2 linked regions of the Xenopus tropicalis genome follow. The protein of the gene in region 2 interacts with the protein of the main gene of each other region in a pairwise test. Links are inferred from orthologs where the notes say so. Each region holds a gene or a part of one and is shown on either strand. Other genes may lie near its edges.

Region 1 (3,817 bases), about 13 Mb from region 2:
ACAACACTCATTCTGAAATTGAAATAAAGTGCCGGTGGGTATCACAATCTATGTGTGTTATAACTGATAAATATCTATAATGAATAACGTGACCAGTGCTTTTTGCTTTAAATTACCATAAAGTGACCGTGTCATAAAAACCTGTGCATTCTGCACTGCATTCAGCCATGTAGCATCAGCTATGACAAATGTAACCTTATTTTTGCAGCATAATTTCCAACGACCCCTGAGGTTTCCTTCTTTACAGTATCCAACAGCACACTGAGCATGTGCAGTGCCACTGACACTCAAAAGATGGCCTAACAAGACCCCAAGAATGGGAGGTTGCTGTATACAAATTCGAAAGCATGGATCATTGCAGTTATAGGGCTGCTGAACCAAAGGTATTTTACTGTATTGTTAGTTAATGTAAATGTATTGCTAGCCATGTTCTTGTTTACCCTTCTATTTTCCTACATGTTTAAGGATAGCATGTTCAGCTTTCAAGTGCTGCCAGTTTACGCCAACTCCTCACCTTAACCAATGGGGAGCAACTGTGAAGTGAAGCAACCTAGGGTGCAAGTTCCCAGAGTGAGCGAGACGACATGGGCATGCACATAACATAACTGGGGGTAGTGTGCCTGGGGAGTCACAGACATGCATGAGAAGTAGACCGGGGAGATTAAGTAAAACTGCATGGGGGGCTGGTAAAAAATCAGGCATTTGCATTAAAAACCACACGCCCATATGATTCTATTGCTTTACTTGCCCTTGCAACAATAAATGATATAGTGCTTTTTAGGGCAACCAAATAGAGCCAAGCTAAACACACCTTTCTTGGGAGCAGCGGGCTTGATGAAGTACGGGAGAGTCTTCATGGCTCCTCGGAGTTCTTGTTTCAACGCCAGCATATATTCCACCTCCTCCCCTGTCTGCAGGGGTACTGGTTTGTATTCCAGGTTCTGAACAAAACAACAAAGAGAGTAGGATGATATACACAGTGTATAGCTCTTAATGGAGAAGAAAAGATGAAATCACAGAGGGGGTGCCAAATGTTAGGCACCCCCCAGTAATTATAATTACTTACCTGATACCCCACGCTGGTGCTCCTGTTAGCAGAAAACTGCAGCAGCCTGGGGTACTTCAGACCTAGCACCACTGCATTATCTACATCTTGTTTCTTCTTCACTTCAGTAAAGTGAAAAGCCAAGTTTGCTTTTTCACACACATGCACACATGCACCCTGGGTGATTGAGGAATGAAGAAGTGAAAGAAGAGGATTGTTCTGTGGTGCTTGCTCAGAGTACCCCAGGGCAGAGCAGTTTTATACTAAATGGACCACCGGCCCAGAGTATCAGGTAAGTCATTATAATCACTGAAGGGAGTGCCCCCCCCCCCCCAGTAATTTAACCATTCCTTGTCCTTTAAAAAGAAACTGCAGGGAATGTTTAACAAAACTGTTGTACATAGAGTTGCTGCATGAATTTCTTTTGAGTTCCGCAACCTAACATGTTTCCCAGCTGTAAACAACACACCCTACTGTCAGTCACTGACAGGTAAAGTCCAGTCTGATTCCAGCATGAGTATGCAATGCACTACTGACACACAGCATGGCTGGGTTTTCTTTCAAGTGAAAAAAGTTAGGAAAGTAAGGAAAAAATAATAAAACCTATTAGTACAAAAAAATGAATAAAGACCTAATACTATCCAGGTAAGTAGCATTTAAACCCATGACAAATGAAAAATAAGCCTATGTATATTCTATAAACATAACAGTATAACTAAAAGGCCATTATACCTTAGGGAAGGCCACATGTATCTCACTTGTAAAGGGCCCATAGTAGCAAACAGGTGGATGGCAGGCACAGGGGTGGGCAACTGGGCACTGTAATGAAAAATGCAGACCCTGATCCTGCCACCCAACAGGCAAAAAGTCAGAAAGCAATAGAAGGCAGTGCACAATGGGCAGACAGGGAAAACAGATACTAAAATGCTAAGATATGGATCAGGAGCCTGTAGTTCACTGCTTCTTGCTGAAATTCAGTCTGCTGACTCCAATAACACATATCAGCAGTCAAAAATATGGGGAGTTGTGGTTTAGTTACAATATGTTCCCCACTCATGCCTATTTTGGTACATTTCTATACATAGCATGTACACTTTAAAGGAAAGTAAGTAAAAAATCTATTCTACCCTGCTCCAATAATTGCCCTATCCTGCACACCATTTATTATTTTGAATGCTTTATTAGAAAATTTCTGCTAAAACCCGGCTTCCGGTCATTTGAAATAAGGCGATACGGCGATGTAGAAGCAGAATCCACTACGCGACGATCAATCCTAGCCTTCCTTCTGTATAGGAAGGAGTCAGGCAAGGATCGATCAAAGGAGTCAGGCTGTGATCGATCAATTCTGCTTCTGCATCGCCTTATTTCAAATGACCGGAAGCCAGGTTTTAGCAGGTATTTTCTAATAAAGCATTCAAAATAATAAACGGTGTGCAGGATAGGGCAATTATTGGAGCAGGGTAGAATAGATTTTTTTACTTAAAAATTTTTAGTGTTACTTTTCCTTTAATACCAAAGCTGTATAGAGCTTAACTTACCGGGAACAACGGGGGAGGTTGGAGAGTGGGTGGCGGCAGTGCTTCCCCTCTGGTAATTCCAACAGCTTCTACATTAAAGGTCAGTTGGCCCCGACCGCTACCTCTGCCTTTTCCAGCCATCTTGTGCTATGCCCAAGAAACAGTAGAATAACCTAGCCTGGGTATAAGAGATATCAACATCACCTGACATTTTGTATATGTTGTTGTATATTTTGTTTTTGTATATATCTCATGACTTCCTTCATGTAGTGTATAGCAATCCAACAATGTTCCACCATCCAGTAAAAAGGCTTCCCAGAAGAATATGGGTTGGTATAACAGATAACATATTCATATTAATACCCTTGGCTAAAGATCTCAAAGGGCTATTCCACCAAACCCACAGACTTGTATTTCTACCCACTTGGACCCACTTCTCACTATAAAACTGGAAGCTTTATCATCAGACCAAAAATGTGGTCGTCATAAACTCAGAAGTAAACTCATCCAGGAGCAAGGGGAGGTGGCAAGTAAGGAAAAGGAACCCAGCAAGGCAGCGACCCATTGCCACATCTGCTTTTCTTGGCTGCAACTGGCCAAATACCTGTGTTTCTTCAGGTAAGATGGACTATACTTTTGGTTTCATTAAAATAATGTGGAACTATGATTAAGTGTGTTTTTGGGCACAATATGTGTAAGGTTGTAGAGATAATGTTATAAACAGAGATTTTGACTACTATTTTGTGCCCTTTGTGGATAAATTGGATTACCCATCACCTATTTTTGCTTTGTTATGGTCTTTCTGCTTCCCTGAGCTAAAGGTCAGTAGCACCCAGACTGCTTTCTTGAATTGGTATGTCTTCTACATAGATTTGTGCTTTGGTGCCCTTCTGTTTTGTTTTGTTTTAATTAACAGAGACAGTGGACAGGTAGATGTCCAGATACTTGTGGTCATCCAACACTGGGTTTAACTTTTAGTGCTCATCATCTATTTTTACTTTGTTATGATAGCCTGTCGGCTTCCCTGAGCTAAGGACCTGGAGCAGCAGGACCACTTCTTTTTTTGTTTTGTTTAAATTCATTAAATAATGGACAGGTAGGTGTCCAGATACTTTTGGTAATATAAGGTATCACTTGGGCTAACGTTCCCTTTAAAGGGGTTGTTTGCCTTCAATGTCTAATTTTTAGTAAACCACCAACAATGCTTGCAGCATTTTACATAAAAAAAGTACAAAGGCCACTGAAAAAGCTACTT
Region 2 (4,265 bases):
TCATACTGACCTCATTGGATGACAGCGGCTGAGTGTATGCCGCACTGGATGAAGTGGTGACCTCGCTCATTCTCAGCATGGTCCGGACTATCTCACTGCTGGTCTGGAAAAGCCCATTATGAAGAAGTAAACACAAGCAAGATGGCCTTAGATCAGCCTTAGCTACTAGGTCATTCTAACCCATGCTGCCTGTCACTGGAAGCGACCATTTTATTGCTGTTGCATCAGTGTAGTACATTGCCGCTACTTCCTGAAGGGTCGAAGGTAATGCAACATAAGGCCCAAAGTGTGCCCAGTTGTAGCAACCCATAGCAACCAATGATTGTATTTGGTGCCCATTATACAAGACCTGCTTGATTTAGGTGTTTATACCTGCCCCTTAAACTACATACCCCTCAAGGGGTTCTGCCACAAGGTACCTGGTCCATTTTATTGGAAACAGCGCTGATAATAGCCTGGTCCCGGAAGTGCTGGTGGAACCGCTCCGTGTTGACTTGCCAGTAGACGCCATCATCTTGGCTATCCTGGGCAGGGAGACCAAGGAGGAAAGGGTAAGTTACAGGCAAGACAAGAATGCAGGGCCATATTGGGGTGAACGATGAACACCCACCTCTGCTTCCTTTTTTGGTCTCTTGGCCTGACTGCCTCCATCGTCATCATCAGATGATCTGCGGCGTTTGCCCCTGCCTAGAGCAACAATAGGCACAGCATAACAAGGGGTATCCAGTAGCACCCCTTCCTACATTGTATACACCTCCGGGCAGTATCGGAGAGCGGCTGCCCCACAAGGGCACTTACCTGTCATATTTAGCTTAGGGACGATGTACATTTCCTTCTCATTCATCTGCAGGGTTGGGGCAAGTGGTGGGCGGCCCTCCGTGGCATCCTTCTCCTGCACAGTCGGGCACCGCTGCACAAAGTGTGTATCTGCCAGGTGGGTAAAGGTGGCAGAAACCTCACTGTACTCCATGCTCTTGCTGTCTGCGCAGGGAGAACACAATACACAGGGCTTAGCTAATGGGCTTAAAGCATTGAGCAGGTTCCTATTATTCCTCTACAGTACACATTCTTTGCGGTACAGTTCCCAGTTATGCGACTAGATTGTAAGCTCTTTCTGACAGCTTCAGACTTTCCCCCTATAGAACTAGACTGCAAGCTTCTAGGGGCTGAATAAATATTAACCAATTTACCAATAGATCTTATGCTATGTGGGACAGGGTGTGCCATTATATAACTAGACTGTAAGCTTCTTTGGACAGCCAAAGGGCTTTCCATTATATCACTAGACTTTAGCCCCAGTGGCTAGATTGCAAGCTCTTTATGTTAGTCACAGGGGCTCCCATTCTACCAATAGACTGTAAGCTTCTAGGGGCTGAATATTTCCTTATACCAATAGATGCTCGGGTATTTGGGATAGGGTGTGCCATTATATAACTAGACTGTAAGCTTCTTCAGACAGTCAAAGGGCTTTCCATTATATCACTAGACTTTAGCCCCAGTGGCTAGATTGCAAGCTTTTGATGTCCATCACAAGAGTTCCCAATCTACCAATAGACTGTAAGCTCCTAGGGGCTGAATATTTCCTTATACCAATAGATGTTAGGCTATGTGGGACAGGGTGTTCCATTATATAGCTAGACTGTAAGCTTCTTGGGACAGTCAAAGGGCTTTCCATTATATTTCTAGACTTTAGCCCCAGTGGTTAGATTGTAAGCTTTTTATGTCCATCACAAGGGTTCCCATTCTACCACTAGACTGTAAGCTCCTGGGAGATGAATATTTCCTTATACCAATAGATATTAGTCTATGTGGGACAGAGTGTGCCATTTTATAACTAGACTGTAAGCTTCTTTGGACCGCCAGAGGGCTTTCCTTTATATCACTAGACTTTAGCCCTAGTGGCTAGATTGCAAGCTCTTTAGGTTAGTCACAGGGGCTCCCATTCTACCACTAGACTAGACTGTCAGCTCCTTGGGGCTGGGTCCCCTATGCACACCCCTAGATTTCTGACACTCACAATATAAACCAGGGCAGCTGACAGCCAGAAGGGATGATCAGGTTGCTGGGCTGCCTATCCCAGAAGGTTGCCACAGGGCTACCCCAAGGCGGCAGTCATTACCTTCCATGGTCTCGGTCAGTCTGTCGGCCACTTTCTTTACTGCGGCGCTTAGTGTCATTTTGCCATTGAGCAGCAGCTCCTCCACAATCAGCTCCCCCGTGTCCCCGTACAAGGTCTTTGCCGTGTAGATGTAGCGCGGGTAGCGCAGTATGCGCAGGAAGCGGTCGACGTGGGCCTTGTACTCGACAAAGCCGCGTTTGTTCAGCTGGTAGGTCACCAGGTTGTGCTGTATCAGGACACAAAGGGCTTTCTTCACCTGTCGGAGGAAAAAACAGTCCATCAAGGGACGGGGACTAGTTGGGGGCAGTGCCCAGGGAGCGAGAGGGTTAAACTTGCCTGATCCAATGACGTCCCTGTCTCGTTGGCGATCACTCTCAGCGGCTGGTTGCCCGTCCGTATCAGAAAGGTCCCCACTCGGTCCACAATCTCCCCGTAATGTTCCTGCAGCAGCAGGGAGCACAGCTTGCTCTCAACCGCACTCATCTCCCGGCACCGGCTGAAACAGAGGGATAGTTATAGTTGTACTACACCCTATAATGCACTATCACTGCTGCTATCCCACTGCCAGACATATACATGACTATAAGCTTATGTCCCAACAGGGGCTGAGGCCCCTCATCTGCCCAATGAGGCCCAGGCAGTAGGGAAGCAATTGTCTGAGCCGTCAGAACTAAGGCACCATCATAAGTTATGGCTGAACTACAACTCTCAGCTCCCACAATCCTCTGCCAGCGCCTCCATGCAGCCCTAGAGTGAAACTCACACCAGAATTCTACCAACAGCACTCACATGGCTTCCGCTTCCTGTCAGCTGACACCGTCCGAACGTCACCTTGGTTACCACATAGCAACTTCCGGTATTAGTAACCCCCCCCCGTTCTTCTCTTGAACCTCCTTTTGGGCTGAGGGGGCAGTGGAGGAGGCTGATTGGAAGACTCGCTGGTGCTGGCAGGGGATAGAGCGCCGTGCGGGGTCACTCTTGCCTCACAAGCCCCGATATTGGGAGGGGTTGATTGGAAGACTCGCTGGTGCTGGCAGGGGATAGAGCGCCGTGCGGGGTCACTCTTGCCTCACAAGCCCCGATATTGGGAGGGGTTGATTGGAAGACTCGCTGGTGTTGGAGGGGATAGAGCGCCGCCGTACGATAGGAGACGTTCGTGTAGGCGAGTCGGCGGTGCTGGGAGGACTGACGTGACGCGGTTCCCAGCAGCAGCAGCCGGAGCTGGGGGAGAGCGGGTAGGGATCATGGCGGAGGCGGCAGCGGTGTCTCAGCATCGGTTCTTCTGCCATCACTGTAAGGGGGAGGTCAACCCCAAGCTGCCGGTGAGTCCCTGCGGGGGAGTGCGGGGCCCAATTGGGGGGTGTGTGGGGGAGGCATATGGGGGGCCGGGGGGGGGGCTGCTGGGCTGAGGGGAACGAAATGGGCCGGGGTGGGGTATGGTGGCGGGGAGGGGAATGTTGGGGGCCGGGGGGGGGGGGGGGGGAGTGCAATGTAAACAGTGGTTGGATGTGTGGCCCGGGGGGAGTGGGGAACAGAGTGGGGGGTACGTGCGGGGGCACTGGGGTGAGAGGGGGGGGTAGAGGGGCTTGGGGTCCCGGGGGGGGGCAGGGTTAGGGAATGTGGGGGACAGGTTAGATGTTTGGGGGGGGAGTAATTGGGTTAATGGGGGATGTAGGGAGGCCGAAGGGAGGGGTGCGGGGAGAATCTAGGGGACAGGGGAGGGGTACTGGGGTGGGAGGAAAGTATAGGGGGGGCTTGGGGTGGGATGGAAATGTAGGGGGGTGGGAGGGGAATGTAGGGGGGCTTGGGGGTGGGAGGGGAATGTAGGGGGGCTTGGGGGTGGGAGGGGAATGTAGGGGGGCTTGGGGGCGGGAGGGAAATGTAGGGGGCTTGGGGGCGGGAGGGAAATGTAGGGGGCCTGGGGGCGGGAGGGAAATGTAGGGGGGCCTGGGGGCGGGAGGGAAATGTAGGGGGGCCTGGGGGCGGGAGGGAAATGTAGGGGGGCCTGGGGGCGGGAGGGAAATGTAGGGGGGCCTGGGGGCGGGAGGGAAATGTAGGGGGGCCTGGGGGCGGGAGGGAAATGTAGGGGGGTGGGAGGGAAATGTAGGGGGGCTTGGGGGCGGGAGGGAAATGTAGGGGGGCTTGG

What was found.
Region 1: the proteins of polr3c (region 2) and polr3gl interact in binary tests that used the Homo sapiens proteins (3 or more experiments, as listed by UniProt). The link is inferred for Xenopus tropicalis from reciprocal best matches to the Homo sapiens genes POLR3C and POLR3GL.

The regions. Positions count from the first base shown.
Region 1 is NC_030684.2:128,432,503-128,436,319, reverse strand, and holds part of polr3gl (DNA-directed RNA polymerase III subunit RPC7-like), read right to left. Parts: intron 2,741-3,817; 5' UTR 2,704-2,740; coding exon 2,584-2,703; intron 942-2,583; coding exon 812-941; intron 1-811. UniProt on the Homo sapiens protein: DNA-dependent RNA polymerase catalyzes the transcription of DNA into RNA using the four ribonucleoside triphosphates as substrates. Specific peripheric component of RNA polymerase III which synthesizes small RNAs, such as 5S rRNA and tRNAs.
Region 2 is NC_030684.2:141,779,048-141,783,312, reverse strand, and holds the start of polr3c (DNA-directed RNA polymerase III subunit RPC3), read right to left. Parts: upstream 3,002-4,265; 5' UTR 2,909-3,001; exon of another isoform or gene 2,883-2,908; intron 2,616-2,882; 5' UTR 2,603-2,615; coding exon 2,456-2,602; intron 2,376-2,455; coding exon 2,120-2,375; intron 982-2,119; coding exon 799-981; intron 688-798; coding exon 611-687; intron 525-610; coding exon 420-524; intron 104-419; coding exon 11-103; intron 1-10. Other genes in the region: E3 ubiquitin-protein ligase RNF115, read left to right, coding at 3,364-3,441. UniProt on the Homo sapiens protein: DNA-dependent RNA polymerase catalyzes the transcription of DNA into RNA using the four ribonucleoside triphosphates as substrates.